Linked DNA regions of Caenorhabditis elegans. The protein of the gene in region 2 purifies or fractionates together with the protein of the main gene of each other region. This does not show direct contact. Each region holds a gene or a part of one and is shown on either strand. Other genes may lie near its edges.

Region 1 (7,960 bases), on a different chromosome or scaffold from region 2:
TCAATTTTTTGTAAAAATTTTGTTTAAAAATACTCAATTTTTGGAACGTTATAATATGATATTTGTGCTTAAATTTTTTGTAAAAAAATAATAACTATCAAACTATTTAAAATTAAATTTGCAACAATTACTTAGTTGGCAACTTTTTGATAACTTTTTCCACTGACCAGATATGAAAATTTTTCGGAGAAAATTGGGCCGATTATGTGCTTTTTCTAATTTAAAATAATTTATCTCCAAAACAAACTAACAAAATATTAATCACAAAATTAAAACAATTAAAATAAAATAAAGTAATCATTATTATAAATATGCACATGATTTCCTAATTAAATATAAAACTTAATTTTTCGAACACTCACTATTTTGGCAATAACTTTGAAATTTCCCAAATGGCCGAGTCAGTTTCCAAAATGTATATAACCTTATCAGTATGCCTAGATCGCCGAAAACCCCGAACTAAAAAACTAAAAGAACATGATCATTATCTGTATGTCTATTCTCATCTCCTCCTCCTATTCCAAAACAACTCAAACTCAATTTCCCGCCGCCGGAAATGGAAGGGCGTGGAGCTATCTATTTTTTGTTGCGAACTGCAGATATCACAACTTCCGAGCGGGGGTTTCCGGTTTTTTTGCAGAATTTTTGAAATGTTCTCATTGGAAATTTAAATTTTTCTTCGGAAGTTTTCATATATTTTTGGAAATTTTTGAAACCTAAAGTTGCATATGATTTTTGACACAATTATCGGAAATACTCCTACACATGCGTGCGAACAATTTGAATATTTTTCCATTAGTCTGTACTTTTTTCTGCTGAAAAGTGCGTGTTCATGCGAAAACTCGGCCATTTCGCAAAAGCTCTAAACTTTTTTAATTAACTTTTATTTCCTATTCCTCAAAAAAAGTCATTTTTGTCAGTCTATCGAATTTTCAATTTGATGAACTCTGTCCCTTTTTTTTATTAAATTAATTTCGCTTCTTGCACTTTCCCGACTTTTCGCTTTGGACTCACCACTTACGGGGCCGCAAATAAAATCGATGACCGAGTTTTTTGACTGATTACAAAAAGCAAATATTGTGGCCGAGTTTTCACTTCCGCGGCCCGACGGGATTGCGATTACCAGGCCAAAACAAAAACGGCATTTGGAGTCTCGTTTGGCCACGCCCACTAATAAAATGCTACGTGTCCGCGAAAATATGGCAATTTAGCAACTTGAGAAAACAGGAACTTGATATCAGTTTTGTGAAAGAAAGAAAAACTCGGCCACTAATTTTTTTCGCGGCCACATAGATTTTTTAACAGCCACAAAAAGACAGTGGCCGAGTTTTATAACATTGGCTTTTATATAAATTTACCTTATCGTCGGCTTCATTGCTAAGCCTAAGCCCAAGCCTAAGTCTAAGTCTAAGCCTAAGTCTAAGCCTAAGCCTAAGCCTAAGCCTAAGCCTGACCCTAAGCCTAAGACTAAGCCCAAGCCCAAACGTAATCGTAAGCCTAGCCTATGTCAAAAGCCTAATACAGATCCTAATTATTTTCTTATTTTCCTTATTCTAAAAATTGAAAAACAAATTACAGAGCCCCGTTTTTTCCCTAATAACCTAGGATTAGAAGCTACAGTACCCGTACCCAATTTTCTTCCAAAAATCCCATTTTCCCGAACGGATTTGCATTCTCTCCTGTCATTCCCATTCATCATTAGTCGAGAATGTTTTAGGGAAAAAGGAGAAAAGAGAAAAAGGCGAGGCGCCCGCCGCAAAATTAATGGACTCTCTCCTGCTCTGTGTGCATGTGTGCTCCGAGTTGAGCAGTCCCGTTCTGCTTCGACGAGTCCATATGTTTTGTATGCGAAGTAGGGACTTCCGAATTGATTGGGCCAATATTCATTATGTATCGACGACGGCCTTTCCCCTCTCTCGTATGACAAATTCTTCTTGTCTTCAAACGCTCATAACTTTATTGCCAGGCTAGGTAGACAAAAACTGTCAACTGGAAAAATGTAGTACACAATTTTTTCTACATTTTCTACATTTTTTTATTACCTACAATGGGAAAGGAGATATAATTCATTTTGTTTCCCTAAAATTCCATCTCAATTTCCAGATTGATCGTCATAACATTCAGCACCTGCTCATGATTGAATGCGTTGCGTGGTTCGTATTATTCTACTGACCTGTTTCATTTTTGTCGCCTTCATTTATTTGGCCGTCTCACATGCGAATTCCAAAATTGTGATCGCTTTTGATGCAAATGGTAGGCTTTTTTCGAAATTTCGTTATAGTAACCAGTTGTTTAAAGGCGCAAAATTTTATAAAACTTATTTAGAGTTAAAAAAACATCGAAAATTATAAGTTATTACGTTTTTTCATAAAAAAAAGGTCTCGACGCGATCAAAATATTTTCAAATCTACCCAACAAAAAGTATGCACCTTTAAAATTACAGTAACCCATTTCCCGTTATTTCGCAATCTTCGCAAATGAATTTTTACAAAATCTGAAATATATCAATATTTTATGAAAAATACGATTTTGAAAAATTCAGCGAGAATTTCACAACTACAGTAGTCTTTAAAAGCGCACACAATTTTCCTGCAGAAAACTTCCGGTCGCGTCGAGACCCTAGCAGTACCGTATTTTTTGGTGAAAAAATTACAAAATTCAACAATATTCCTCAAAATATTTTTTCAGACGAGGAAGCCCGCCGAATTCTGGACAGCGCGATCCCGTCGCCGACGGTCGCCAGTCCATTCAACAACAATGCACCACAGTCGATGTCCGTTTCGGTAGCATTGGTGCTTATCGTATCACTTATCAGTGTTGCTCTTCTTATCACAGGTTAGATTATTATGAAGACGCAGAAAATGCGCTCCACGGCCAATTGGAACCGCTCCGCCTCAAATAGTTGGGTCTCGTTAGGAAAAACTGGTAACTTGAAAGTTACCACTTGAAGCTAATTGAAAATGCTGAATTTTGGTAGAATACCTAATGAGACCCACGGTTAGGAGGCGGAGCGTTTTCAATTTGCCGTGGAGGGCGTTTTCACGTTGATTGGGCATTTTTTCTACGTCCCAATAATATTTTATATTTTCCAGGTATAATCATAATCGCCGTCACGCTAGATCCAACTTCAAATAGTGAGGAGGATGAGGAATCGGATTTGGAAATCGACGAACCCACGGCGGCTCGTTCCAAACGGAATGATAAACAGATTGCCGATCCGAATAGTTACTATCCACGTTTTGATTATGATTTCAATCATTCGAATACGATTCTCTCTGAACTGTGATTATTTTCCCCCATTCCATTTACGGGTCTAATCGTCACTTTTATGATAAAATGTGTATTATATATGAACAAACAAGAAATGAGAGGTTGCAAAAAACCATGGCAATAAACGTTATTGAACAAGAATAAAAGAACCAAGAAGTGATTGTGTGTGGGGATGGATGAGAGAATTCAGAATTCACAGAATTTCAATTTACTTGAGCTGTGGGAACGACATTTGTGGCTTCAGCTCGGTGAGCGACTCGTTCCAGTATTGAGTGACAGTCTTCCATTGAGTGTAGAACTGGATTCCGGCCTTTCCGTAGAAGTTGAGATCTCCGAGGAATGAACCACGCGAGCCGGTGAACGAGAACATTGGGAGTGGAACTGGGATTGGCACGTTGATTCCGATTTGTCCGACATCGACTTCGTTGGTGAACTTTCTGGCGGTGGCTCCGTTGCTGGTGAAGATGGCCGTTCCGTTTCCGTATGGGTTGTTGTTGATGATTTCGATGGCCTCGTTCAAGTTCTCGGCCTCCATGACGACAAGGACTGGGCCGAAGATTTCTTCCTACAAAAAATTAAATATTAAATTAAACAAATTTAAAAAAAAACAAAATCTTACTCTGTAGCAAGTCATATTTGGCTTGACTCCAGCGAGAATCGTTGGTCCCACGAAGTTTCCATTCTCAAATCCTGGAACAGTGATATTGGATCCATCAAGTGGAACCTGAGCTCCCTCCTTCTTGGCACTCTCGATAAGACGGAGGACACGGGCCTTGGATTGCTTGGAGATCAGTGGTCCGATGTCGGTATCCGGCTTCCATCCAGCGTTGACCTTCAAGTTCTTGGCCTTCTCGACGAGTTCTGGGAGCCAGGCGCGAGCTTCTCCGACGAGCACAGCGGTGGTGAGAGCCATGCAGCGTTGTCCGGCGGCTCCGAAGGCGGCAGCGGTGAGCTGATTGAGGGTCTGTTCTTTGTTGGCATCAGCCATGATGACTCCGTGGTTCTTGGCTCCCATGTTGGATTGGACGCGCTTTCCGTTCTTGGCTCCACGCTCGTAGATGTGTTTTCCCTGAAAAAATCATGAAAATTGATTAATGTTCATAAAAAACAAATTCAAAAAAACTTACAGCAGCATCTCCTCCAACAAATGAGATAGCCTTGATATCTGGGTTATCGCAGATAAAGTTAACAGCAGAGTGCTGTCCGTGAATAATATTGACACATCCATCTGGAACTCCGGCCTCCTTGGCAAGTTCGACAAGAAGCTGAGCTGCTCCTGGATCCTGCTCGGATGGCTTGATGACCATAGTGTTTCCGGTGGCCAAGGCGACTGGGAACATCCACAATGGGATCATAGCCGGGAAGTTGAATGGACAGATTCCGGCGGTGACTCCAAGTGGGATTCTGTAGGAGTGGGTGTCCATGTCGCGAGAGACATTTGGAAGGGTCTCTCCCATCATCAGGGATGGAACGGAGCAAGCGTGCTCGACGACCTGAAGACCTCTGCTGACGTCTCCCTCGGCATCTGGAAGGGTCTTTCCTTGCTCAATGGTGATGCTCTCAGCGAGCTTCTTCATGTCTCTCTTGATCAAGGCTTGAAGTTTGAACATGCATTGTTGACGGGTCAGTGGGGATCTGGAAACTTCTATTATTGAAATAAAAAAAAAAGATCACACGGGATTCAAGACTCACGTGTTCTTCCAGGTGTTGAAGGCATTCTTGGCCGAGTCAACAGCGGCTTGCATCTCAGCTTGGGTGGCGTTTGGCACCATAGCGATGACCTCGTTGGTGGCTGGATTGGTGAGCTCCACGAAGTCGGTGGTCTTCGATTCAACAGCTTGTCCATCGATCCACAGCTTGACAGTCTGAAAAATTATGGAATTTGGATTTGGAAACTTAAGATCAAGCCTGAAACTCACTGGTGCGGCGGCAGCAGACTTCGATGTGCTGAAGTGGGCGAGCTGTTGGCATTTTGGCTGAAATTAGAATATTATTTGAAGTTTTGAAGTTTTGATTGTTTGATTTTCGTTTTCTTTTTCAATGTGTCACCCCATACGACAACTGTCGCACAGACTGCAAGTGATGTGTGAAGTACACGATTTTTTGTTAAAAAATATTATAAAAAGAAACTCCTACCTGAACACGAGCAAGACGAGACAACATTCTGGGGTACCGCAAGTTTTAGAGCTGAAAATTAGAAGATAATGACTGAAAACGCACGAGAAGAAAAATTGAAAATCACAAGAGATGGGCGGTCGCGTGGTGGTTCTGACGATTCGGATAATGCGAAATGAATGAAAACTAAACATTACTGATCACGTTTCGAATTTTGAACTAAGAAATAAATAAAATAAGCCACAAAATACACGCGAACATTGAAAATTAAAAGGTTAAAAGCTCTATCTGCGAGTTTTTGAAGTTTCAATGCTGTTGATAAGACGACGGGAGGAGTGGCAAATAGGACAGAAGAAGAAGAACAGTTGCTTTTCTCTCTCTCTCAGCAAAAAAAGAAGAAAAAGAAATAAAAAAGAGTCAGAGAGTGGGAAAAGTGATAGTGCAAGAGACTAAGAGACGGCCACAGCACGTGGAGAGACCTGCAACTGCCCACCATTTGACCCGTGTGCACTTGGAGAAACGTGATCGATGCGTCTCGAAAACTCGAATACAAAAATAAAATAGTGTTGGTGAATAAACAACGTTAAGATAAAGATCATTAATTAAAACAAATAAAAATGCGGAATATTTAATTTTATATAAAAAAAAGAAACAGAAAGTGCTAGGAAATGTGACAAAAAAAAAAGTAAAAAATTAAAAATTATGAGATGAGAATATGACAGTGTCTAGTGTCTAGAAGGATAGAAGGCTAGAAAAGATTGAAAAAGAACGAGAATGCTATAAATTCAAATAAAAATGATTTAATTCCACTTGTCGACGGAGACATCCAAAAGTCCTGGCTCATGGAAACTCGCTGGGAAGCTGCGCTGTTTCGCGATGAAGATGGAGGCTTCAGTCTCCTGATCCTGATGATGAGAGGCCTCGTCAGCCGAGACAAAGGACGATCGGAGCCAAAAGATGTAGACGCACTGGAGAATCACGAGAAGGATTAAGACGACGCAGAACACGATCAGCCACATCATCGCGTTCACATTGCTGTCGGTCTGGAAATATATTTAATTTATAAATTTCTTCAACACAACCAGCTCACCTCAGACGGATTATTGCGAGCCAGGTAGTCTGCCTGCTCGTTTTCACAGCTCTCCTTGTTGTAATTCTTTCCATCTCTCAACATGCAATAATCGTTGGCCCTGAAATTATGAATATTAAATTCGAAGATCGATGATTTCTTCAAAACCTGATGATGAGGAGCTTGTTGGTCTTCGGAACAACACTGTAAATCGTCTCCGCGTTACAAGTGATACTCCATTCCGAATCGAGTGTTGTCAGCGTTGAGGACAGGGTCTGATGCGTTTCGTTGACATCTCTCACACTCGTCTCGTAGAATACTCCGTTCGAGACACCTTGGAGTTCGCCGCTCAACAAGGAATTTTCGATTCGTCGTCCAGCCATTTTTCCGGTGATAATCGGCACGACATCTTTGATTTTTGCTTGGAACATCTCCACGTGGCCATTAATTCGCTCCTTGTAGTAAACTGCATCGGTGTATGGATCCTCGACCCAATCGAACAGTCCATTCACAGCGTGGCCAGTGTACTTTGCGATGTGCAGCTTGTCGAATCGATCTGAAAATAAAAAATTATGATTAAAAGGCAGGCTTATTAAGCAAGTGATTACCGCTGAAAATGCCATGCAAGTAAATTTGCTCGATATCGTAGAATGGAGGAGCTGAAAAGTCCAGGTAAAGCATGTGTCGAGTCGTGTCGAACATTGAACGGGCCAGATTTCTCTTCGCCTTTCCTCGAGCCCCGTCTTCGCGGTAGATCGACTCTCTTGACCCAATGTTCTCCTCCCGCTTCCCGGAGTTCTTCTCGAAGCCATTCGACATCTAAAAAATACGAAATTCAACACTTCAACCACTATAATAAGCATACATGCAAATCCGTGATCTTGATATTGTAGGTGAGACTGTCTTCTGTGACAGTCAACACCCTCGGCGCATGGATGCCATCCGGATCTCGGACCAGGTGAACGCCGACAAAGCGGTAGGGAATAGGCTCGCTGAAAATTAACATTTGTTAAATTATTTTCGAAATTTTCCGGCAAAACAAACCTTTTCGGGGATTCCATGACCCGCGGGCATTGTCCCGCTTCTACGTTCGCTTCGGCGAATCTGTAGTTGTCCTGCTGCGCGATGAGCAGGTACTGCTCGGTTCCCACAACCTCGGCGACGGGCGAGTGAGCCGCCTCCGCAGCCGAGTGGAACGCGAGCAGCGCGAGCAGCAGACGAAGAATTGCTCGTCGGCTCATTTTCTGAAAATGTCGAAAATGATTTTGAAAGAAAATTTCGCGTAGAAAGAAATAAAACACGGGAAAAATGACTGATATTAAAAATGAGGTAATTTTATAAAATTGAAAATTCTAAAAATCGCGCGCATTTGAAGGCGCGTTGAATTTTTCTATTGCGTGGGTCTCGCCACGATTACCGTACCCAACTTTATTTATTTAAAAGTCGCTATGTTTTCAAAGCGAAATCGATTTATTTTTCCATTTTCAGAGTAAAACTTCGGTTTCA
Region 2 (7,531 bases):
GCCCGTAATTGGTCCGTCCCGCTTTTCATATCCGTAGTTCGCCCGTTAATGGTCCGTTCCCGGTCCAAGATCCGTAAACGGACCGTACCCGCTTTGCCTGTGATACTGAGTACCGTAGTTACTCCTCAAAGGCACATATTAATTTTCGAAATGTTCCACATTCAGTAGAACCAGGATTGTAATAGTTGAGCCTACAATTCCCGAATAACTGTATTCCTGATTTTTTCTTCAATTCTCCAGAGAACTAAACATAATTTTTTGCTTCAAATGTTTAGTAACTCAAAAATCAGTCACTAATACTCCTGGAATCCGCATTTCGTGGTAATGTTTGTAGTTTTCTTGACACTAATCGTCTTTAAAAATTAAAAATTATGGGTTGCACGAATTTATTTGGTGATAAGAACGATTAGGACTCTTCTTGTGAAAAATCGTGTTTATTTAATCGTGACCACTTCCCGTTCTTCTCAATTTCCTGTTAATTAAATTAAAAGTTCGATTTCTGAATTTCTTTGTTGAAAATAATATTTTCAGATTCTTCGGCTGTCTAGAAAATGGATTCTAGTCAAATGTTTTGTGCAGTGCTAGTTTCAATAATGTTCTCAATTTTCATAAAATCTATAATATTCCCTGAGAAACGAAATATTCAAGACAATAGGACAGATAAGCGTAAAAGTATCTCGTCACCAACAAAAAGCTTATTATTAGGAAGGTATGTTTCAAGAGTCTAATACGGTATCCGGTCTCGACACGCCTTTTTTGCCAAATACAAAAGGGTGTGCGCCTTCAAAGAGTACTGTAATTCCAAACTTTTGTTGCTGTGGAATTTTCAGATTGTTTTCACATTAAATTTTTAAAAATTTTCTATATTGTTTTATATCAATTTTTAATAAATAAAGATAATTTTAGCGAAAAACTATGAAAAATCGATGAAAACTCCGCAGCAACCAAAGTTTGAAATTACAGTACCCTTTAAAAGAGCACACCATTTTTTATTTAGCAAATAAGGCGTGTCAACCCCAGAACCGTATCTTTGGCGAAAAATCGCAAATTTTTTCGTCTGAGTTATATACAATTTTGATTTCAGAAAGTTCTCTGACACATTAAAACCAGTACTAGAAATGCATGACGTCATGGAGCTACGGAATCTATCGATGGTTGATCTGCAAACTTTTAATACACAATTTTCCAAGATAACTGATCGATATTGGAGAGAAATTTTCAGAAGGCAGTGAGTTGGAATTCTTCAAATAAGTATTTATTTCCTTCTTTACAGAAATGATTCCCATCATCCTGATCATATTAATGTGTCACGGTTACAAACTGCGAATATTATTACTGTTCTAGATGAGAATCTACCTCAAGGAGCTATTCAGGAACTCACCATAACTGGTAAAGTTCAATTTTAATGTTTAGTTATTCATTGAATTCTTCCAATTGCAGGTCTAATACCAAAACCATTTTCCTCTCGACGGTGTGAAGTAATGCGATACCTGAGAGAGCGGCTATCGTGTTCTCCGGATGTCGAATTAAGCTTTCAAGGCGATCAACTTAGAATTACAAATCCAACTTTAAATTTAGAAAATGTTCCGGTTTTATCTATGGAAAAACACTGAATAAAACAAAATAATTACAAACGAATCAATCGGGTTGGGTGTGGGATGGGCAAAGAGATTCTGAACATTTGGGGACATTGATTGACTAAACGAAGATGTGCCTACTAAATATTGATGCTTCAACACTTTACTTAGGTCCGAGCATGTTTTCTGGCTTGACCCATTGAGCGAACTGCTCCTCGGTAAGGATTCCCAGCTTCACGGCTTCCTGGACAAGGGTGGTGCCGTTCTTGTGAGCAGTCTTAGCAATCTTGGCGGCGTTGTCGTAGCCAATGTGTGGGTTGAGAGCAGTGACAAGCATAAGTGATTCACGCATAATCTGAAATGAAAAATCTATTTATCATCTACTTATACTTTAATCAGGTCTATAAATTTCCGCTAAATTTACTAACAAACCTTGGCAATATTGTCTTTGTTAGCAACGATTCCGTCGACACAATGATCAGTGAAGCTCACAGCGCTGTCAGCAAGAAGACGTGTTGATTGAAGAACATTACGAACGATAAGTGGCTTGAAAACATTCAACTCGAAATGTCCATTAGATCCTCCTACACTGACTGCAACTTGATTTCCCATAACTTGAGCGGCAACCATTGTGATGGCTTCACATTGAGTTGGGTTGACCTTTCCTGGCATGATGGAGCTTCCTGGTTCGTTTTCTGGGAGTGATAACTCTCCGAGTCCGCATCTTGGTCCAGATCCCAAAAATCTGATATCGTTTCCAATCTTCATGAAGGAAACTGCGACTGTGTTCAGGGCTCCGTGAACCTCAACGAGAGCATCATGGGCGGCGAGGGCTTCAAATTTGTTTGGAGCGGTAACGAATGGCAATCCGGTAAGTTCAGAAACAGTGGCGGCAACCTTCTCAGCGAATCCCTTGCGCGTGTTGAGTCCAGTTCCAACAGCGGTTCCACCGGCAGCCAATTGATAAAGTCGTGGAAGAGTCGATTCAACACGAGCAATAGAGTTATCAAGCTGTGTGACGTAAGCTGAGAACTCTTGTCCAAGAGTGAGTGGAACAGCATCTTGGGTGTGAGTACGTCCAATCTTGATGATATCTTTGAACTCTTCAGCCTTGTTGTGAAGGGCAGTGCGAAGCTTCTTGAGAGCTGGAAGAAGACGAGAGTTGACTTCACGTCCGACGGCAATGTGCATAGCAGTTGGGAATGTGTCATTTGATGATTGGGACATATTCACATGATCATTTGGATGAACTGGCTTCTTCGATCCGAGCTCTCCTCCGAGGATCTCGATAGCACTGCAATGAATTCAATAAAATCTTTAAACAATTTTTTTTAGTTTTTACCGATTCGAGATAACCTCATTGACATTCATGTTGGACTGAGTTCCTGAACCAGTCTGCCATGTAACAAGTGGGAAGTGCTCGTCGAGCTTGCCGTCAACAACCTCATCAGCAGCTTGGGAAATCGCGTCAGCCAGTTTTTTGTCTAATCCGAACTCGGTGTTGACAAGGGCGGCGGCCTTCTTCAAGATTCCGAAAGCGTGGATAACTGGGATTGGCATACGCTCTTCTGGTCCTCCAATCTTGAAGTTCATCTGGGAACGGGCGGTCTGGGCTCCATAGTATTTGTCGGCTGGAACCTCGAGCTCTCCGAAAGTATCTCGTTCCTTACGAATCTACAAAAACTCATTTGCATATAGATACTGTTAAAAATGCTAAATATTGTCAAATGAGTATATTATTTTGAATTGTGTTTCATTTCAGAACATTTCATGATGTAGACAGAATGTTCGAAACTAAATATGTTTTGATCGTTCAGTTCTATCTAAAATATCTCCGAAACACTCAATTACATTACTTGTTTGCCTATGAACTTTTATATGGTTGTTATCAGACAAAAAAACAAACCTTAGCCATTGGAACAGTGGTGCGCGAAAAATTGCGGGCAGTGGCAAGAGACGCTCCGCGGGCAATGACGGCGCCTCCACGAGCAAGCATTTCTCCCTGTAACATAGAGACTGCAGACATTAAGAGAAGAAGTTAGATAATGAAAAATTCAGAGATCACAGAGAAACGAACTAGTTTCTCACGTTTCCAAGGGTTTCTGTTGCCTGTGTGTGAAGGTCAAATCAGTTGAAGCGTGGCGAAAATTATTATGATCTTTAACCGATTTTGCGGAATCAAAAATCTCGAAAAGTTGAAGAAACCACGTGGTTACATAAATAATTGCAAATCAAACTCGGCATGGTTCATCTTGGAGAATATGCAATAAATCCAGAAAATATACAGCTTTTCTCTTCTCCCGCACAAGTTGAGATCAATTGGAAAATCAAAAATGAAATAATTCGGATATTAAACCCGTGATGGATTAAATGTTGTAAAAATCAGTTCAAACATAAATCTAAATATTTTTAATGACATTCTAAATTATGACCAAAATATAGTAATGCATGGGTGGAATGAAACAAGACGAGTTGGTGGAAAGTGAAATAACTACACAACTTTGAAATATATGAACATCCGGGGAAATAAATTAATATGTACACATCTAAAGAAGTATCATCTAATTGTCCTCACTATTGTTATACAATCCTTTCTAATAATTATATTCTACGACATAGTAGCCGATAAATAATTAATTAGTTTCTGCAAGATTGCCATCACTGTATTCAGATGCTTGATGACATCGTCGAGGTGTGGAAGTTGAGATTCTGCCATGAACACTGAGAGGCCTTGTGGATGAACTGTCTTCGGAACCATTTGGTAGGATGCACAAACCTTAAAATGTGTATTGATTATTGTGAATTTGCATTTTAAAACATACCAAGCGGCAACATGAAATATAGAAGGAGATTAGTTGATCTTGAGGAAGAGGTGGAACAAATTTCCGGGTCGGTGGGAAGTAACACAACTCCAACAGGCTTCTTTTTCTAGGTAACATAATTGAATTTCGAGCCAATGATATTTCATTCATGGTGAGCTTGAGTTCCTCCAAAATACGTGCTCCGGTAGCCAGAGTGAAAGCATCTCGTTCTCCATCTCCTTTCAACAAATTAACTTCATGTTGTAAATCGCAGAGAGTGATTGTAACTCTGGAAATGTGATTTCCAAGATCCTGAAGTTGTTGAAGTTTCCATTGGACGTCGGGTTGTGCGACTGCTCGATAATATCCACCACCAGCTTTAGGATACTTTACGGTCACTTCAGCTTGAATAACATTGTCGTCCAGAAGTGTGACTGCTGCCTGAAACAGTTTTATAGATGAGGCGAAAATGTTTAAATTTATGAAAATAATTAAGGGCGATTATTTTTTTTAAAGACTGCCGACGAATTTCCGAAATTTTTCGTTGTGAAATCAAATACTCACCTTCAGATTATCAGAGCTACCAGTTCTCGACATTAGCTGATATTTTTCAGTCGTTCCATGACTAACGGCAACGTTCAAACGTTCATCGCATTTAGCCGATAAATTCAATACAATGCAGCAGGCTTTCAGATGTTCCAGCGCACTTCGCAAAGTCGTGTCAACATCTTTTCTCTGTATCCAAAGGTTTTCGTTGGTTTTGTTAGAGCGAATTGTGTCACGGATATCTGTTAAAAATGCACTTTGATAGTTTTTTAATTAAAAACCCAAAATGCTTACCCTGCGGATTTGGAGATGCGGGTTTCGGCGGATAATTCGTGGTTATTGTAAGACTTTGAACCTCCATTGTATTGCAGAAAAAATCAATAAAAATGATAAAATTCCACAAGAGAAGCTGAAAAAAACCCGAAAACGGGTCGCCGGGCGGCAGTGTGCAACAGAGCGCGTTTGCTTTTGTTTGGTAAACGTGAGATTTTCAACATTGCAAGACCTCTGGGAATAAAAAAAAAGTAAAAACGCGGTTTGTAAACAAAAAATTCATTGAAGTCAATGAAAAACCCAGCAATTGCTAGCAAGAATTAGCAGAAAAAAAACATAAGCGATCAATTGCTACAGTACTCTTTCCTTAAAGGCGCGTGTCAGAACTGAGTCTTTCGTTGCGAGACCTCTAGTACAACAAAAAAGTTTAAACATTTACTGTATAATAGAACTTGAATAGCAAAAGCTCAAAAATAAAGTGAAAAGTTATGAAAATTGTGGTTTACAATATTTATTTTCAAAATTTTTTTCATTAATTTTTTTCAATCCAAAGTTCTTCAAATAATTTACCCTTCCCGTTGACACATGTCAAAATGTTCCGAACGTGCGATTCAATTGATGGTAATAAATCATTTTCGATACAGGAGGAACACATCTGGTTAGATGGGAAAATAATTGCTCACGGAGCAGCCGGGATATTGAGAACTAAAGGATTGATAGGGTCGTTGAAGAAAAGTTTGAGGTTTTATTAATTGGTTGGACAACGTGGTTACCAAGCTCTCATATTCTTTTTCATGGAAAATTATTAGATGGCACCATTTTGATTCTAAAATGACCAATTAGTATAGTGAAACTTTTCAAAAAAAATTGAAATTCATTTAGTTTTCAATCAAAAATCATTTTCGCTACTTATAATTTCGGAAGTTGACCAATTTAATCAATTTTTTAAGAAATCATTTTAAATTCTGTTCAAATATTTGTACTCAAACACTTTTGAGGTTCAAACGTGCCAAATTGCTCTACATTTTTCAAAAAGTCCACATTTTTGGAAAATTTGGCATTTTGCCAAAACTTTAATTAAGAGTTTTCAAATATCAGAAAAAAACAAATTGAAGTGATTTTTAATGGTAATAGGCCATTTTTGATCATTATATGTAAGTGTACTTAGACCAAATTTTAATTGGCGCTTTTAGATTACTGTAAATTCCCTTCAGAACTTTCCAATGTGATTTCTATTTAGACGCCTATGCGCTGGCCTTTCAGGTAGCCTACGCCTGTCTCGCGCCTAATAAAACAGATGTGAACACAAATCGAACACTTTTAAAAATTAAATCTTACAGTTAGCTAGAAACAACGTTGTTTCTATTTTTCAGATTCTCCTGTTCCGATTTCGATATATACTTTGATTCAACACAAAAGTAAAACAATGAGTTTGCAAAACTGTGCAAAGAAACTTTATAGCTTCGGAGTTTGATTCCCTGTTTGCGGGGTGATCTTTCACGCATAGAGACTACTATAAAACATCCCGGTTTGTCGGAAAAGTCACGATTCAGTCAACCGAGTCAAGGTAAGCATTCTCACTTTCAAGTCTTCTCAAAAATCTGAAAATTTCAGTATGAACTTCTACAACATCTTCATTTTCGCCGTTCTCTCAATTGCCGCCGTTTCTGGACATCGTTGCCGTGGTGGAAACAACTACGGAGGAGGTGGCCGTGGAATTGTCATTGGAACCGCCAAGGAATAATTTGAATGATTTGTTGACCTTGTGTTAATGATAAAATTGTGAGCATTTCAAATCTTTTCTATATTAACTTGTTGAATTGGCATTCTAAGCGTTCCATGCAGGAACCAAAACACCTGCTTGGCCTCAAGGAAAACGCTGCATGGTTTGGGCCTAAATCCTCAATTCCTATTTTATTCTTTGATCAAAATTAGAAAATTAGAATTTCGTAAACTCACCCAAAAATTGAGAAAGGAGGCGAAAAACAGGAATGGTTTCTATTATCAAAGCCCTAGGGTATTAAAATAGTTTCTCAGGGCGATTGGCTTTTAGTATAATTTATAATTTTAAAAGAGTTTGGTATATGTATAATTCATTTACTTATTTACATTCATATTGCTAGCTAGATTTGCAAAATATGGAAAAATTAGTGGAAAAACTGACTGGAATGCTGGTCCTCCAGTCATTCCACCAACACTATTCATTTCAATTCCCTGAACTTCACACTCTCGAAAACCTTTTGCAAATGGATTTGATTCGATTTTCAGACTTGTTATCTGAAAATGTTATATTTAGAAGCTGTAAATACACAATATTTAAAATCACCCGATGAT
Region 3 (8,502 bases), 2.4 Mb from region 2:
GTAGGAATTGGGAGAATAAAGATGATGACTTCGGTCTTTTAAGTTCTAAGATTATAAAGAAAAAACATATTTTGAAGAAAATATTCTTCATTGTAATGAAAAAAAACTTCTTTTTGGTACTTTATTTTTGTGTTATTGGAGAAAATAAATTATTTTACTCTCACAACTTTTTTTAATTGAAGGAAGTTTTCAAGGAAGCATGTTCACCTAGTTCAGATAATCTCAAGAAATTGGTTACTGGATATTAAACATAAACAAACTTAAATCTGCAATGACAGTGACATTGTACAAAAAAGGAACGCGAAATTCAAAGAACTAATCAGAGCAGACAACCAGAGTTGTGGGTGTCTAGGTTTTTTGTTAGTTTTAAAAAATTCATTTTTGAATCCTTTATTCAAAGTTCATAGTTCACTTCCAGAGGTGATCCAAATAAAGTGGCTGCTCTGAAGGCCGAATCAAATGAAATCGAAGGTGGAAATACAATAAAGATGGAGGTATGATTGATATCACGAAGACGTCTAAAGATTATAATTTTTGTCACATCTTATACGCAAAGATCTTATACCCCTTAATCTTATACCCCGAGAGCAGCAAATTACTGTAACGAGGCACCACAAAAATGAGAACTGCGAGAAGGAGAACTTCGAAAGGGAGAGCAGTAACTCGTTGTCTCAACCTTTGCGCGTAAGATATGGCCAAATCCTTATCTTAAGACGACTACGTATCAGCTGAGCAAGAAACGTATCTGAAAATTTCAGGATCATGTCCTGAAGAAGCTGAATGCCAACGGACCAGCTCCGCACATCCCAAACTTAAACTTATATGGAAAAAAGATGAATTTCTCCTATATGGTCATGACGTTATTGGGGAGAAATCTCCAAGACCTGGAATCAACGAATTTTGTTGTGAACAAAGGATTTTCACGTGGAACATGGAGCCGTGTTGGAATTCAATGGGTTTATGCATTGAAATATGTGCACTACAATGGATTCATCCATCGTAATGTGAATACACAAAACTTATTTTTGGGAAATGAGAAGGATAGTGAAAGAGCAAAAATCATTCACATCTTGGATTTTGGTCTTGGAAGACCTTTCGCTCGTTATGTAAGTTAAGCATTAAAACTTCATAGTATTTACAAATAATTTCAGCATGCCCGAGAGAATAAATGGATTGTACGTATAGCTCGTCATTCTGCAGAGTTTCGTGGGAGTTTTCGTTACGCGTCTCCGAATGTCCATCTCCGTAAAGAGCAAGGACGAGTTGACGATGTATGGTCACTGCCCTACGTCATCATTGAGCTCAACGGCGGAAAGGCACTCCCATGGCAAACCGATTATCGACGCGGACGTGTGGAGCAAATGAAGCTGAACTTGACGCCAAAGGATGTCATGTCTGATATGCCAGCTTGTATGGATAAATTGATGCCTCATTTGGCTTCCCTCAATTACTACCAAAGACCGGATGATCAGTGAGTTTTCTATATTTCCTATCCATTTATACGATTTAAATTTCAGCATGATCTTCAAGTGTTTCTGGCAAGTCATGGAGAACGAGAAGATCACTCCAAGTTCAAAGTTCGACTGGGAAAATGAGGAGCCTGATGTAAGAATTTCCTTTGAGTTCTCAGAATAATTCATTCTTCCAGATGTCTGTTCCACCTGCAGCTTGGGAGAATCCAGACGGACGCTACTTCCAATCCAATCCTCTTGAAATCAACGGCCCACCTACTCCAGCCGAAGTGGATTTTGTTCTTTAAAAGTGGGAAGAAGCTTGAAAACTAGAGATATATGAGATTTGAATAAAGGACTAGAAAATGATTTTGTTTTGCTAAATTAACAAAAACTATGAATCCTCAACTACAGTTGGCTCCTCCTAATAGTTCATCATCTTAGAGCTAATGAAGTTCTGGCGTCCAATATCTTTTGGCAGATTTCAAAAAAAAAAACGAACATAGATCTTTCGGATTCTAAGTTTAACTGGAAGAATTAACACATTTGTTCACTTCAAGATTCATCTGGTTTCATTGTTGACAACATGAACCTTCGAAATTGTTGGTTAAAGTTTAACATTAATTTTGTTTACAGCTCCAATAGTCTCTTATGGAAAACAAAATTTAATATTCTATCCTACAGTCCTTTCTTTTCAACTGTTATTTAACATTTATGAATCATGTTCCATTATGACCTAAGACATATTGTGGCCTATACAAATTGTGACCTATGACATATTATCATTACTTTCAAACAATAATCTTCAAGCGACCCGTGCTTCTCATGCTTGTGAAATGCTGAAATGCTTTTTTATTCAACTGTATGACATTTTTCAAACATGTGCAGAGAAACTTGAATGCTTTCATTTTCTCAAAAGATTCCCACGGCTGACGATTTTTTTCTTGAAGCCCGAAGCCTAATTGATATGATAAAAAAAACTTCAGATTTTCGTTACATTCGTCCTTTTTTTCTTGTTACTTCATTAAGCCAAGTGTTGACTTTGTAACTGCTTTCTCTGGAGTAGAGTTTCTAAAGGTTCGTAGTGTCTCGCCACCAAGCGCGCTCTGTTGAGCAAGGGCACCGCGCCAGTTTCGAAGTTTCTTTCTATTTTAAAAACATTTTTAGCTCTTTTTTTCGGATTTTCTCGCAGTTTGAGAATATTTTCCTGAATGTTTATCTTCCGTTTGAATTAAGATCGCGTTTCCTCTCAGAATTAAGTTATATCTGTCAATAAAAACAAATCTCAGCTGAAATGCTTGCACGTTTGTTTATTTTCTGCTGGTTTTAGGCAGGACTAACGATGAATCTTGTTGTTAACCACTCTGTTTATATTTGATAATTCTTAATTTTGTAGTTGATTTCTGCTGAAACTATTCCTGTCTCTGTCGTTCAATCTTTCCAAAGTTTTTCATTTATCATCATTTCCAAAGATCCCATCTCGACATGGAAATATTAAATGGTCAAGGGTTAAATCATGTTGTGCAATACTTGACTATTCTTCAGGACTCCAAAAAATTCTCATTATTTTGTGCTGGTTCTATTCGAGCACGTGCTTCTTCATCTTTTTGTTTTCGAAGATGTTTCGTTGAAGTATATTTGTGTGTGCAGTTCTCTGCATCTCCGCCTTTTTGACTCCTCCTCTGTCACTTTTCAACCATCGCTCAGTGTTCTCTTATCTATTTCGACCCTAACCATCGAGGCTGGCGTGTTTGTCCATTCTTTTCATATCTAATCTTTAGTTTTCTCTATTTTGTTTAGAGTTGAATTTTTGGAAGAAGATTAGTTAATCGATTTTGAATAATTTTGTCAGAAGTCTCTGCAATACTGATATTCACTTTTTGCCACAGTTTTTAGATATACTGATTCGATGTTTCCGAATTACCACTGGAACTAGTTTATTTTCTATTTAATTAAAATTTAAAATGTTCTATGAAGAAACGAGCTGCTGTGAACTCACAATATCTAACCTCATTCACCTGTAAATTTTTATTTTGCGTCCTCTTTCTAATTTCTTTAAAATCTTGCCTTATTCGGGTAAATCCTTTATAATTTTTATTTTCAGAATGCTCCGTTCAGCTCTCCGGGCAACAGTTCAGGCACGAAATGCCTCCGGTGTTCCACCAGGTCTTTCCAACATGAAACCACAATACACCGGCGTAAGTTTCTCAGAACGTTGTTTTAAAAAAATTGCAAAAAAGATAGGAATCACACAGGATAACCTTGAAAATGGAGACAATGTTGAGAGAGACTCTAATTTGAATTTTGAAAGAAAAAATTACGGAGCCCATTGGATCGCCAATTTCTAAAAACGTTGATTTTCAAGTAATTTGTGTTTAAAGAAAAAGAAAACAAAAGTGGAAATTGTGCATCGAATCTTATTGGTTTTTCTCAAAAATCCGTATTTTCCGCGAAATTCAAAGTTACAAGAACATCACATTACGTGCGCTTTGAAACCGCCGTTATCAGAAACTGCAACAGAAACCAAAAAGATGAATTTGAACCTTTTGATCTGTTTTTCTGCTGCAAAAATGTTCTCTTCTCATGTTTTCATTACATTATTTCAACGGAACCACGTGCCCTCAACGTTGTGCTCTGTTGTGTACCTAGTACACAGAGTACGATCAATTTAAAATGATGATAATAAAAAGAAAAAGAAGAGAGCTGATACTATCTCATAGGGAAAACGTGGTCGCCTGAGGTGGAGAACGAAATGAACAATGAACTCGGTCAACAGTGAGATAGGGCAATCAAAACTGAACGATGATCGGATTTGAGAAAATAAACTTAGAGGGCAGAATTAGGACGAAATGTGATACTTCTCCAAATCAGGGATTCAAATTTCAAAAAAGTTTATATCTAAATTTCCAGATCTTCATCAACAATGAATTTGTGCCAGCCAAGTCTGGAAAGACTTTTGAGACTATCAATCCAGCCAACGGAAAAGTTTTGGCTCAAGTCGCAGAAGGAGATAAAACAGATGTCAATATCGCTGTCAAGGTTTAAATCTAAATTCGAATTTTAAAGCAATCTTCAAACTTTTCTAGGCTGCTCAAAATGCATTCCGTATCGGCAGTGAGTGGAGACGAATGGATGCTTCTCAACGTGGAGTTCTTCTGAATAGACTAGCTGATTTAATGGAGAGAGATCGAGTTATTTTGGCATCTTTGGAATCTTTGGATAATGGAAAGCCATATGCAGTTGCTTACAATGCTGATCTGCCACTTTCTATCAAGACTCTTCGGTGAGTTCGAATAGCATAAATTGGAGAATTTTGCTGTAAAAAAATCCCAAAATAGTCTGTAATTAAGAAGAAAACTCAGAAAAAACGAAAAACTTTACTGCCAAATGAGCAAAGAGATCTACAAAAATAATTTCGAATTCTCAATTTTATGAGAGAAAAAAATCGAAAAACAAAAATTTTTGATTGTCCGGACAACCGTAAATCAAAAAAAACTGTTTAGAAAATTAACAGCCAAAAAATGCAATTTTTTGAATCAAATTTTGTTTGTATTGATGAGAAAAATTAAAATTTATTGTAAAAAAAGGAAAAATGGCTAACATTAAAAAATAACTTTATTACAGTTATTACGCCGGATGGGCTGACAAGAATCACGGAAAGACTATTCCAATCGAGGGTGACTACTTCACTTACACTCGTCACGAACCGGTGGGAGTCTGCGGACAGATTATTCCATGGAACTTCCCACTTCTTATGCAAGCTTGGAAACTTGGACCAGCGTTGGCTATGGGAAACACAGTCGTTATGAAGGTCGCCGAACAGACTCCACTTTCAGCCCTTCACGTGGCTGCTCTCACAAAAGAAGCTGGATTCCCAGATGGAGTGGTTAATATCATTCCAGGTCAGTTTTGTAAAAATTGTGAGTTTCTCAAATAAATAAATTCCAGGATACGGACATACTGCCGGACAAGCTATTTCGTCGCACATGGATGTTGACAAAGTCGCTTTTACTGGATCAACTGAAGTTGGAAGACTTGTTATGAAGGCTGCTGCAGAATCGAATGTCAAGAAGGTCACTTTGGAACTCGGAGGAAAATCACCAAACATCATTTTCGCTGACGCTGATCTCAATGATTCCGTTCATCAAGCCAACCACGGACTCTTCTTCAATCAAGGACAGTGCTGTTGTGCCGGATCCAGAACATTTGTCGAAGGAAAGATCTATGATGATTTCGTAGCTCGTTCCAAGGAATTGGCCGAGAAGGCTGTTATCGGAGATCCATTTGATTTGAAAACTACTCAAGGACCACAAGTTGACGGAAAGCAGGTTGAGACTATTTTAAAATATATCGCTGCTGGAAAGAAGGATGGAGCTCAATTGGTGACTGGAGGAGCCAAACACGGAGATCAAGGACACTTTGTGAAGCCAACTATCTTCGCTAATGTTAAGGATCAGATGACTATTGCTCAAGAAGAAATCTTTGGACCTGTTATGACTATCATTAGATTCGACACAATGGAAGAATTAGTTGAAAAGGCTAATAACACTATTTATGGATTGGCTGCTGGAGTTATGACTAAGGATATTGATAAGGCACTTCATATTGCCAACGCAACCAGAGCTGGATCTGTCTGGGTTAATTGTTACGATGTGTTCGATGCTGCTGCTCCATTCGGAGGATTCAAGCAGTCCGGTAAGCTAATTTATTATTAAAATTTCTCCATGCCAAAGTTAAAAAATACTTTTTCTTTTAGGAATCGGTCGCGAACTCGGAGAATATGGTCTTGAGGCATACACTGAAGTAAAGACTGTCACCATCAAGGTTCCACAGAAGAACTCATAAATTTCTTGAATTTTCGCTTTCCCTGTAATTTTTGTTCCTTTTGCTTTTTTTTTTGAAAAATGTTTATTGCTCTTAATATACGTGTTGTATTTATCTATTTTTCACATATATTGAAAAAGAATTCTGAAAGAAATAGACACCTACAGGACGACTCATAAAAGTCTCGACTTCTTTGTGAATTGATTGATTCAGGACAAACGAATTATTACTCTGTACATTAGAGGATCAGTCGTAAAATCTTCAAAAGGCAAAAATTTTACGAGCTTCCGGTAGGTTACGCGAAATTTTAAAAAAAATTTGGAACGCTTCACGAATTTGCGTGTCATCCTTGCGCAGGGGCCATGCTAATCTTCTCTGTATTGTTCCAATTTTAGTATATGTTCTCGGAAGAACGAGACAGCCAGGACCAGTTGTTGCTTATATAGTGGCCACCTGCAAGGCGGCAGACATCTCGTGGGTTCCGCAATTCTCCGTCAAGCAACTCAAAAAGGGCAAGAATCGAACCAAAACTTGATACTTATTTCCGTCAATAACTTTTTAGCCAATGAATCGATATTAATAATTTTTTATGTGTTCGTTCTACATGTCATGTTTTAACAGGTAACAAAGTTTCAGAAAATTTGAAGCATTTCTAACGGAGATAATAGGCAAATTAGACAGCATGTTGCAGCACAATTATTTCACACACCTTAAAGGCGCACGCCATTTCACCGGCTGGTCTCGCAGCGAAGACGGCCTCTCCGTTATTTTCTCTTGAGGAAACGTGCGTTTCTGTGGTTTTACTTCACAAACAGTGCTTTTATTGATTATTTTTGAGTTTCAAATGATTAAATTACAAATTATGAATTTTTTAACCACAATAGCATATAAACCGCAGCCGTAAATCGATATTGTTCGACTAGAAATTCCACTTTTTCGAATTCAAATCTGCAAGTGTTCAACCATGTCATTCAATCATTATTGTCGGGTTTAAATTTCTAAAATTCTTCATAGCAATTATTAGGTTTCTTAAGACGTAAGAAAAACCTCATTTGTTTTTATTTTGTGAGTTTGTTTTATTGCTTTTTCTGATTTAAAAATCACAATTTTGTACTTTTTCATCAAATCACCTGATTTTTCTCTTTTTTTCTCAATTTTCACGTAAACAAGTTTGTTCCCCCTCCTTCTCCCCCCGCGTTCCGTTTTTCTCACAAATCTCAACTTCATTTCAAATTTTAAAGGTATCCGACATGAACCGTCTCGCTCAACCAGCTACCCGCTCGGTCGTCAAGACCTTCCAACGCAAATCCTCAGGATCATTTTACGGATCCAACAATGTCGAAGGATTCAAAGAGTCATATGTCACTCCACTCAAGCAAGCTCACAGTAAGTGTTTTTTTTTAAAATAAATAGTTTCTATTTTGATGTTCAAAGATTAAAATATATTTTTCAGATGCTAGCGAGACCTGGAAGAAAATCTTCTTCATTGCTTCGATTCCATGCTTGGCTCTTACCATGTATGCCGCCTTCAAGGATCACAAAAAACACATGAGCCACGAACGCCCAGAGCACGTCGAGTACGCCTTCTTGAACGTTCGCAACAAGGTAAAATATTCGTTTTTATCTTGAAATCTGCCATAGTTTAAAATTTTACTTAAAAAATGTTATTTAGCTTTCATGTCTTCCTCATTAAAGAAGTTATCGGCAAACTGTTTAAAAATGTCATCTTTCTGGCATTTTTCAAACTAAAAAGGATGACTGTGAAGTTTAATAATATTCAAAACGAATTAAAAAAAAAACAGTCGCTTTTTTGGAATTTTAATTTCTACAATCAAGCTTTTAAATGATTATACAATTTTATAATTTGGCGTTTTCTCAGTAATTAAAAAAAACGATTGGTCTCAATAAATTCCCAAGATGGTTAAAAATTTCAAAAAAAGAGTAAGAAAAATTTTAGCTAAATCTCCAATTTAGCCAACATGTTCTAGTTGCAGCTGCTGGAATACAGTTTTATTGAATTATTGTTTTGGTCTATCAGACTAAAATTGACCTAAATCGACGGAATAACGTAAAATTAACAACCAAAACATGAAAAAAGGATGATAATAAAATAAATACTCATTTCCGACGTTTGCAACACAGAAAAGTTGACAAAATTAAAGATTTTAGCAAAAACTTTCCTACTTTTTTGCAATTTAGAATCGCCAACATTTTTTTCTTGAAAATC
Region 4 (8,411 bases), on a different chromosome or scaffold from region 2:
ATTTTATCACACCGAAACACGACTTGGACTACTTGAAGGATACCTGGACTGGTATGTTATATTTTTATATTTTATTTTGAATAAAATACTATTCTGGGCTAAAGCTGCCTGAACAATATAGTTGAATCATGTTCTGAAATTCAAAATTCATTGCTACAGTGATTACTGGAGGAACCGATGGAATTGGAAAAGCGTACATTGAAGAACTCTGCAAAACAAGAGGGCTCAAAAAATTCTACCTGATTGGCCGCAATATCGACAAATTGAACAACACCAAGAAGGAGCTAGTGGAGCAACATGGATGCGAGGTTATGTGCCATGTCCATGATTTTGAAAAAGACGACTTGTCAGCTCTCCCCAAGGATCTCGAAACTTTAGATGTTGGAATTTTGAGTAAGCAATTTTTTCCAACATTTTCACAATGTATTTTTACAGTCAATTGTGCCGGAATTGCTCCACATATCATTGGAACACTGACCGAGCTGCCAGAAGGATTGGCGTCCAAGATTCTTCGTGTTAACCTGATGTCTGCTGTTAAGGTTTCAATACTCTGATACTTTTCCAAATTAAGGCTTTGTTTCAGATGACCGAGATGATTCTGCCAAACATGGTGAAGAAAAAGCGAGGAATCATTGTAAATATCTCATCAATGACGGTAAGCGCCTACCAACCGTTACCTACCTACCTACCGTAACTTCCGAGATTTACTAATCATATACTTCCAGGGCTGGAGGCCGCTTCCGTACCTCAGTTCTTACCCGGCTAGCAAAGCTGCATTATCCTTCTTCTCCGACTCCTTGTCAGATGAATACCGAGGAACTGGAATTCGTGTTCAGGTACGTATTTTCAATAGGTACACTTTAAATTTAAATCTTAACAATTACCGATTTATTGTCCAATACGTTTTAAATATTCCTTCAAGGCATTCAAAATTGAAATTCAAAATTTCAAATATATAGAGCCTTCGTTAAACAGCCTTAAATGCACTGAAATACTTTCAGAAAGCTTTTGAGTTGTGTTCTTGCATTTTGAATAATTGTAGATACCTAATCGAAAAACGAGCTGTCAAATGACATGCTTATCTGAAAATTTGTATTCTATAAAATGTATATATTAATACTTACAACAACGGAGTTTTTAATTTAAATGTCGCACGTCTAAACGTAACCAGTTACATGTAATGATTTTGCCAGAACTGATTCAATTTATTGTTAAACGTATTGTATTTTAACTCAAAATCTTTCTTCACAAACTTTAAAAAAAAACTCAAGTGTAAGTTTATTCATTTTTCCAGTGTCTCATTCCAATGCTCGTTGCTACCAAGGTCGCCTCGTATGAAGCTGAAGAAGCGAACAATATCTTCGTTGTCACCCCTGAAAACTTTGCCAAACAAGCTGTCAGAATTATCGGGACTAATTGGGAAATCACAACGGGCTGTGTGCAACATGATGTTCAGGTAAAATCAATGGTGTCTTAGTGGTCTGAATATTGCAAAATTTCAGGTTGCCCTTGGAACATTGTTCTCCTTTTGGTTTTTCAAAGTACTTTTCGTCCCTGTTGTTATGCTCGGAGTTCATAAGCATCGTGTTGCCTCTTATCAAGCGAAGAACTCGAGAAAGAATAATTAGAGTTTTTATCATTTCACGTTTATCCATTTTCGTTCATTTTTATCATGATTTTTTTTTATTGAATGCTATTTTTCAGATAAAAAAGTTTTCGTGTGAACTTAATTTTTTAGAATCTTTTTTTTAAAGTTGATCACCGATTGAAGCTTTTTTTGCCAGAAAAAACATTTCAAATTTTTCCCACTGGCCATACTCCACAGAATTGCTGCACACACTTGAATCCTGCAAATATGTTGGCTCTAGAGAAAGAAAAACAGTTTTAAAAAATTAAATATACAAATTTTTATGATCTACTTGTTTTTCGAATATTCCTATTGAAACATCTCGAGAAGCCAAGTTGTCAGCAATTTTTTATAAGCTTTTAGTATGTAGTTTGGATTGTAGTACTCTTTATTCAAAAATACTTTTGGACTTAAATAATAACATGTCTTTTTTATATTAATGAATATATTGATATTGAAAATTTAGCTCTTCCGGTGACTCACGGGGAATCATATTCTAGTTTGCACAAATTCATACGAGAAAAGTAGAAAAGGGAGGAAAAAAATCGTTTTTTGTTGCGATAAGGCTATAGTTCGCTTAGTCAGCCCCTCCTTAACGTGTATGCAACATGAATCACATGTGCTTGGTGAGTTGTCTCATCGAGAAAATGTTTCATTTCTCATTCGAAAAGTTATTGCAAAACCCGACCAATTTTCTTCTTATTTTGTTTTGTTTCGACATGTTGTTCGAGAAAAAAAAACGTGTTTTTCACCCAAAGCTTCCCCCGCAGGTTTATCGATTTTTCCAGTGACGGCTAATAATAAAAAAAGCGGTCGATGAGCAACGAGGAGTTTACAGCCGATCCTCTGTTTGCGTGAACCTCCGTTTCTCGATTGTCGAGTGATGATGGGAATCGCCGAGTCGCAGATTGAAAAACACGTCTTGCTGTCGAATGCTTTCCACCCGGCGAGCCGGCGGGCCCCGTTTTCTATTGACCTCCTCTTTCTCACAACAATAACACTTATTCACTTTTTTCACGTCACAAATAACTATCGCATTGTTCTTCGTTATCAACAAAAATAGATCGACCAAATTAATAATTTTTTCTTAGAAAAAAAAAAGAAAATTTCAATTATAAAATTCCGTCGAAAAACTTATATATTTCAAGCAAAGAAAACAGTTGTTCAATCTTTGCGGCCTAGGAAACCCCATCTCGGCCGCGCGCACTGTTTGTTAGTGACCAGTGACCGCTGTCCTTCCGCACCCTCATTAGTTCCTCACCCGCTGTCGTCACTATTTCTTCTCAATGCTCTCGTTTGATTTTATTGATTTTCTTCCTTCGATCTTTTGGATTCCTGCTCAATTTTTACAATTTTTGCAGAATGTCGGAATTCTCTCAAACCGCATTGTTCCCGTCTTTGCCTCGCACTGCTAGAGGAACTGCCGTAGTTCTCGGTGAGTTTTTATATTTTTAATTGCACGGTGATTTTACTATTTAATACTAGAAATTGAAGCCGTATGGCTGCATTATATTTTAATATGGCTGCAATACTAATTTTCAGATAAATTGTTTCTTTAAAATAATTAGTCTTCACTTGCAAAAGTAGAAAATTCTGAAAATTCATATTGCGCAACATATTTAAAGTATTTCGTAGCGAAAACCACATTGATCCTTTAAAAAACTACTGTAGCGCTTGTTGTTACTGTAGTTTTTTTGTCAATTGTGCGAAAAATAGTAAAAATCATTGATGAAATATTTAAGTATTAGTGAGACGCTTTGGCAACAGAAAAAGTGCAAAGTGAAACGGTTAATAGGAAAGCTAAATCACGTTTTACAAAAATACTTCCAGGCAACACCCCCGCTGGAGACAAGATTCAATATTGTAACGGAACATCGGTTTATACTGTACCAGTTGGAAGCCTAACCGACACCGAAATCTACACTGAGCATTCTCACCAAACGACTGTCGCCAAGACAAGCCCAAGTGGTTATTATTGTGCTTCTGGTGATGTTCATGGAAATGTTCGTATCTGGGACACAACTCAAACCACCCACATTCTGAAAACTACTATTCCGGTGTTCTCTGGACCAGTGAAGGATATTTCGTGGGATAGCGAAAGTAAGAGAATTGCCGCCGTTGGAGAAGGCAGAGAACGTTTCGGTCATGTTTTCTTGTTTGACACTGGAACGTCTAATGGAAATCTTACCGGACAAGCTCGCGCTATGAACAGCGTCGACTTCAAGCCATCACGCCCATTCCGCATTATCTCTGGATCTGATGATAATACAGTGGCGATTTTTGAAGGACCACCATTCAAATTTAAAAGTGTAAGTGATTGTAATATTGGATTAGTTTTTGAAAATTCTCCACAAAGGTTCCGCTTAAAGTATTTCGAAATACTACATGTTATTCTATTAGGTTTGTGTTAAGTTGTATTTTTTAATTCCAAAAAAGATAATTTCGCGTGAGCTTTTCGCTGAAGTTTCATGCTTTTTATTTGATAAAACATTAAAAAAAACACTGAGCGAACTTTTTTTTCAGAAACTATCAACAAATAATGTAGAAAAAAACCTGAACGTATGCGTGAATTTTTAATACTACCGGAATGCAAACATCTTTTCAGTAGCTTATTGTCAGTGCAACTCTAACAGAGATTTAATTTTGATAGAAGGAAACTTGTTTTAAATGACTCGAGTGTTCCAAATACGTTTTCAGACAAAAAACCAGTTTCAAATTTATTTTCCAATTTTTCCAGACTTTCGGAGAACATACGAAATTCGTCCACTCTGTGCGCTACAACCCTGATGGCTCTCTGTTCGCCTCGACTGGAGGAGATGGAACCATTGTGTTATACAACGGAGTTGATGGAACAAAAACCGGAGTCTTTGAAGATGACTCTTTGAAAAATGTCGCTCATTCTGGATCTGTGTTTGGCCTTACCTGGAGCCCGGATGGTACAAAAATCGCATCGGCTTCTGCTGATAAGACCATTAAAATTTGGAATGTGGCTACATTAAAGGTTGAAAAGACTATTCCCGTTGGAACTAGAATTGAAGATCAACAACTTGGAATCATTTGGACCAAGCAGGCTCTTGTGTCTATCTCTGCTAATGGATTTATCAATTTTGTCAATCCAGAATTGGGAAGTATCGATCAGGTTAGATACGGACACAACAAGGCGATTACTGCACTTAGCAGCAGCGCTGATGGAAAAACTCTTTTCAGTGCTGATGCTGAAGGACATATTAGTGAGTAGTTTCAGTGCTTCGAAATTTAAAACTTGTTTTCAGACTCCTGGGATATTTCCACAGGAATATCAAACCGCGTGTTTCCGGATGTTCACGCCACAATGATCACCGGAATCAAGACAACCAGCAAGGGTGATTTGTTCACCGTCAGTTGGGATGATCATCTGAAGGTTGTTCCTGCCGGAGGTTCTGGAGTCGATTCTTCCAAAGCTGTTGCCAACAAATTATCTTCGCAACCTCTCGGTCTCGCCGTTTCCGCAGATGGAGATATTGCAGTTGCTGCTTGCTATAAGCATATTGCAATTTACTCTCATGGAAAGCTCACGGAAGTACCAATTAGCTACAATTCTTCCTGTGTGGCATTATCGAACGATAAGCAATTTGTTGCTGTTGGTGGACAAGACTCGAAGGTCCATGTGTACAAACTCTCTGGAGCAAGTGTCTCTGAAGTTAAAACAATTGTCCATCCTGCTGAAATCACATCTGTCGCATTTTCGAATAATGGAGCTTTCCTCGTGGCAACCGATCAATCACGAAAGGTTAGTTTTTGAAAAAAAATCATTTCTATTATAGATTTCAAAATTCAGGTTATCCCGTACTCTGTTGCGAACAACTTCGAGCTAGCTCACACAAACTCCTGGACTTTCCATACCGCCAAGGTTGCATGTGTTTCCTGGTCACCGGACAATGTCCGTTTGGCGACCGGTTCCTTGGATAACAGCGTTATTGTATGGAACATGAACAAACCATCTGATCATCCGATCATCATTAAAGGTAAATATTTCTCTATTAATTTAACACATTTAACAACATTTTTATAGGTGCTCATGCTATGTCGTCTGTCAATTCGGTAATTTGGCTCAACGAAACTACAATTGTGTCGGCCGGACAAGATTCGAATATCAAGTTCTGGAATGTACCTTTTTAAGTCGAGAAGCTTTTTGATTGCCCTCTAAGTATCCTTAAAATTATATTGATTTTCATAATTATCACTAATTTTCGTGTTTACTGCAAGCACTATCATCTCCTTCGAAGCCTTAAATACACGCGTAAATAAAAACTATTGGTGCAAAGCTGTGTTTCGATTGACATCCTTACAACATGTGTATTTGTTTTCTAGAAGTGATGAGAAAAAAAATCATTCTAGTGAAAATGCTTTATTTAATAGAAAATTAATAAAACATATGAAATCTAATAGGCAACGCAGGCGGTTGGGATCTTGACAGACTCAACGAAGGAGACTGGGAAATCGACCAACTCGGCAACAGTTTGCTCACGAGCTTCCTTCAAGAAACGACGAGCGTTCTTGCTGTGGCGTGGCATGCAAGTGAAACGGATCTTCTTGTTGGAAGTCTTCTCGGATTCGAGTCCACGGCGGCACTCAGAGACTGGCTCGATGGAGAAGCAGACGCGGTTGGAGAACTCCTTGATGAGGGTCTTCTTGACGAGTTCTGAAAAATATGTATTTTGTTAAAACTACACATCATTCAGCCTTAGACTAACCCTTCTCAGTTTCCTTCTCATCGTAGTTGCTCTCGTAGTCGGAGCTGCTCTCGTAGTCGGACTTCTTCTCTTCTCTGTTCCATTTGTTTCTGTAGTTCTTCTTCTCGGAGATGCGGTCGTTCTCAACTTCGCATTCCTGAAAATGAAATTTACATTCAGTTCATTGAAAAAATCTGATTACCTCATTCTTGAGAAGGTAAGACCGGTGGAATTCCTCAACATCCTCAGTTTCGTAGTTGTCAGCGGTCATGAACTCATTGTCTCTCTCACCGTCATTGTTTCCGCAAAGTCCGCAAAGTTGGTTTTGTGAAGCAACGGATGGCATGTTGGTCTTGACAGTGTATCCATCGAAACGAACCTCTCCTTGTGGAAGACGAATAACAATAAGGTTATCTCCAAGAATTTCGATACTGAAAAACGAGATTAGAAAAATTCATGTGATTTAGAGTTAAAGCTTACTTGTATTGTTCAAGTTCAGTTGGGTTAACCTTCTTTCCGTCAACCTTGACAAGGAACTTATCGTCAGACTTCTTCACAACAATTTCTTCCTCACGGCGGACAACCTTAACGAGAAGCTCCTCAGAGTTCTTGTTGATCTTCTTGGCAAGAACAGCGAATCTTGGCTGTTCAGAGCAATCCTTGGCAACAAGAGAGTAGCAGGTGGTGAGTGGAGCGCGGTAGATCACGTTGTCAAAGGTAGAAACCTCAGATTGGTCAACCTTGCAGGTGGCTCCGGTCTTTTCCCAGGTTTGTTGGAACATGGCACTACGAGCAATAGTTGGGAGAACGACGCGTGGAATACGAACATTCTTCAACTCAACTTCTTGTTCTGGAGTCTGGATGGTCATGTTCATGTATTGGCGGGAAAGTGGCTCAACAGAAAGTTGAAGAACAACGCGGCGATTCTCGTTTTGGACACGCTTCTCAGAAACAGTCCAGAAGTTGTATGCCTTGATAAGGTCGAAAATGCGGGAGAAAGTGTATTCAGACTGTGGGGTGAGCTTGTACTCAGAGACAACATTGACTTGGTTAAGACGAGCAGCCTTGATCAAAAGTTCGTACTCTGGAATTCCCTTGTACTCACGCTCGATGTTGCGGATGAACTTCTTTTGTTCCGTGGATTGTTCGAGTTGAGCATTGACTGTGATCTCGCTCTTCTTTGATGATCCCCACTTGGCATTGAATGCGAGTTGAACCTCACGGTGTGGTTGCTCACGGAGTTGACGGAGGGATGATGGCATTTGTGGGCGGGCAGCAAGAAGCTCAGTACGAAGAGTCCATTCTTTGTTCTCGTGCTCCATTGGAGAGCGGCGAGCATCCATCTCAACCTTGCACATACGGATCCATTTGTCACAGACGGTACGAAGTTCAGTGTTCCAGTACATTTGTTGTGGGGCTTCAAGCTTGAGGGTGATGAGGTTCTTGAATCCTTGCTCAGATTGAATCTCACGGATCATCTTGTGGAAGTATTGGCGGCGGTTCTCAGATTCGTTGTTCTCAAGGTCGAATTCTTTTTCGAAGATCTTGTCGAACTTGATCTCGGAAAGATCAGTCTTCTCGAGGTTTCCAATAGTGACGCGAGCTGTGAACTCAACTGGACGGTTTTTGTTTTCAAGAGTGTACTCGAAATCTTGTTCAGTCATCAAAACCATTGGAAGAGTCCATTGGGAAAGAACATTTCCTTGGGCATTGATTCTGAGTCCAAAGGTCTCATATTGACGATCAATCTCTTCAGTAGACATTTGGTATTGTGAGTGGGAAATAGTCTTCTCTTCAGCCTCAACATATTCAGAGTCTTGGTTCTTTGGAACACGGATGAAAGCAACTGGGCGGGTATGAACGGAAACAGTGGTCTTCTTGTTCTCTGGGACAACAAACTTGTGAGTGATTTCGAGAGTGTTCTTCTTCAATTCAACAGTTGATTCGAATCTCAATGGAGTGTGGAGACGAGCAGATTGAAGTGACTTGACTCCTTGTTCAATGACTGGATACCAGAAGCGCATCTCAGTGACGTGGGTGGTGGCAACAGTTGGAACGATATCAAGAACAAG

Evidence for each region.
Region 1: the proteins of fum-1 (region 2) and alh-8 fractionate together in Caenorhabditis elegans (co-fractionation; one large-scale study listed by BioGRID). This does not show direct contact.
Region 3: the proteins of fum-1 (region 2) and alh-1 fractionate together in Caenorhabditis elegans (co-fractionation; one large-scale study listed by BioGRID). This does not show direct contact.
Region 4: the proteins of fum-1 (region 2) and unc-78 fractionate together in Caenorhabditis elegans (co-fractionation; one large-scale study listed by BioGRID). This does not show direct contact.

The regions. Positions count from the first base shown.
Region 1 is NC_003280.10:11,726,552-11,734,511, reverse strand, and holds alh-8 (putative methylmalonate-semialdehyde/malonate-semialdehyde dehydrogenase [acylating], mitochondrial), read right to left. Parts: upstream 5,458-7,960; 5' UTR 5,434-5,457; coding exon 5,407-5,433; intron 5,247-5,406; coding exon 5,190-5,246; intron 5,136-5,189; coding exon 4,963-5,135; intron 4,916-4,962; coding exon of another isoform or gene 4,906-4,915; coding exon 4,398-4,905; intron 4,340-4,397; coding exon 3,890-4,339; intron 3,836-3,889; coding exon 3,479-3,835; 3' UTR 3,314-3,478; downstream 1-3,313. Other genes in the region: F13D12.8 (Col_cuticle_N domain-containing protein), read left to right, coding at 2,142-2,253, 2,689-2,835, 3,093-3,286; F13D12.5 (uncharacterized protein), read right to left, coding at 6,186-6,428, 6,476-6,575, 6,623-7,010, 7,063-7,273, 7,320-7,446, 7,499-7,695. UniProt on the Caenorhabditis elegans protein: Probable malonate and methylmalonate semialdehyde dehydrogenase involved in the catabolism of valine, thymine, and compounds catabolized by way of beta-alanine, including uracil and cytidine.
Region 2 is NC_003281.10:7,461,677-7,469,207, reverse strand, and holds fum-1 (putative fumarate hydratase, mitochondrial), read right to left. Parts: upstream 3,604-7,531; coding exon 3,484-3,603; intron 3,425-3,483; exon of another isoform or gene 3,275-3,424; intron 3,252-3,274; coding exon 2,920-3,251; intron 2,872-2,919; coding exon 2,010-2,871; intron 1,933-2,009; coding exon 1,741-1,932; 3' UTR 1,614-1,740; downstream 1-1,613. Other genes in the region: H14A12.5 (tRNA-synt_2 domain-containing protein), read left to right, coding at 1,119-1,228, 1,274-1,389, 1,441-1,613; H14A12.3 (Protein rogdi homolog), read right to left, coding at 4,186-4,353, 4,400-4,819, 4,943-5,166, 5,219-5,285; fipr-20 (FIP (Fungus-Induced Protein) Related), read left to right, coding at 6,813-6,941; T-box transcription factor mls-1, read right to left, coding at 7,295-7,474, 7,524-7,531.
Region 3 is NC_003281.10:5,074,210-5,082,711, forward strand, and holds alh-1 (Aldehyde dehydrogenase domain-containing protein), read left to right. Parts: upstream 1-3,555; 5' UTR 3,556-3,556; coding exon 3,557-3,649; intron 3,650-4,361; coding exon 4,362-4,490; exon of another isoform or gene 4,491-4,537; coding exon 4,538-4,734; intron 4,735-5,075; coding exon 5,076-5,353; intron 5,354-5,399; coding exon 5,400-6,146; intron 6,147-6,207; coding exon 6,208-6,296; 3' UTR 6,297-6,452; downstream 6,453-8,502. Other genes in the region: Inactive tau-tubulin kinase ttbk-6, read left to right, coding at 489-494, 759-1,106, 1,152-1,471, 1,518-1,605, 1,649-1,759; cox-6A (Cytochrome c oxidase subunit 6A, mitochondrial), read left to right, coding at 7,526-7,661, 7,729-7,880.
Region 4 is NC_003284.9:3,406,193-3,414,603, reverse strand, and holds unc-78 (Actin-interacting protein 1), read left to right. Parts: upstream 1-2,988; 5' UTR 2,989-2,989; coding exon 2,990-3,062; intron 3,063-3,457; coding exon 3,458-3,936; intron 3,937-4,364; coding exon 4,365-4,857; intron 4,858-4,899; coding exon 4,900-5,396; exon of another isoform or gene 5,397-5,444; coding exon 5,445-5,631; intron 5,632-5,678; coding exon 5,679-5,785; 3' UTR 5,786-5,930; downstream 5,931-8,411. Other genes in the region: putative oxidoreductase dhs-27, read left to right, coding at 1-51, 160-393, 436-539, 584-655, 726-836, 1,295-1,456, 1,503-1,628; vit-5 (Vitellogenin-5), read right to left, coding at 6,049-6,308, 6,361-6,496, 6,542-6,770, 6,820-8,411. UniProt on the Caenorhabditis elegans protein: Induces disassembly of actin filaments in conjunction with ADF/cofilin family proteins. Regulator of actin organization in myofibrils.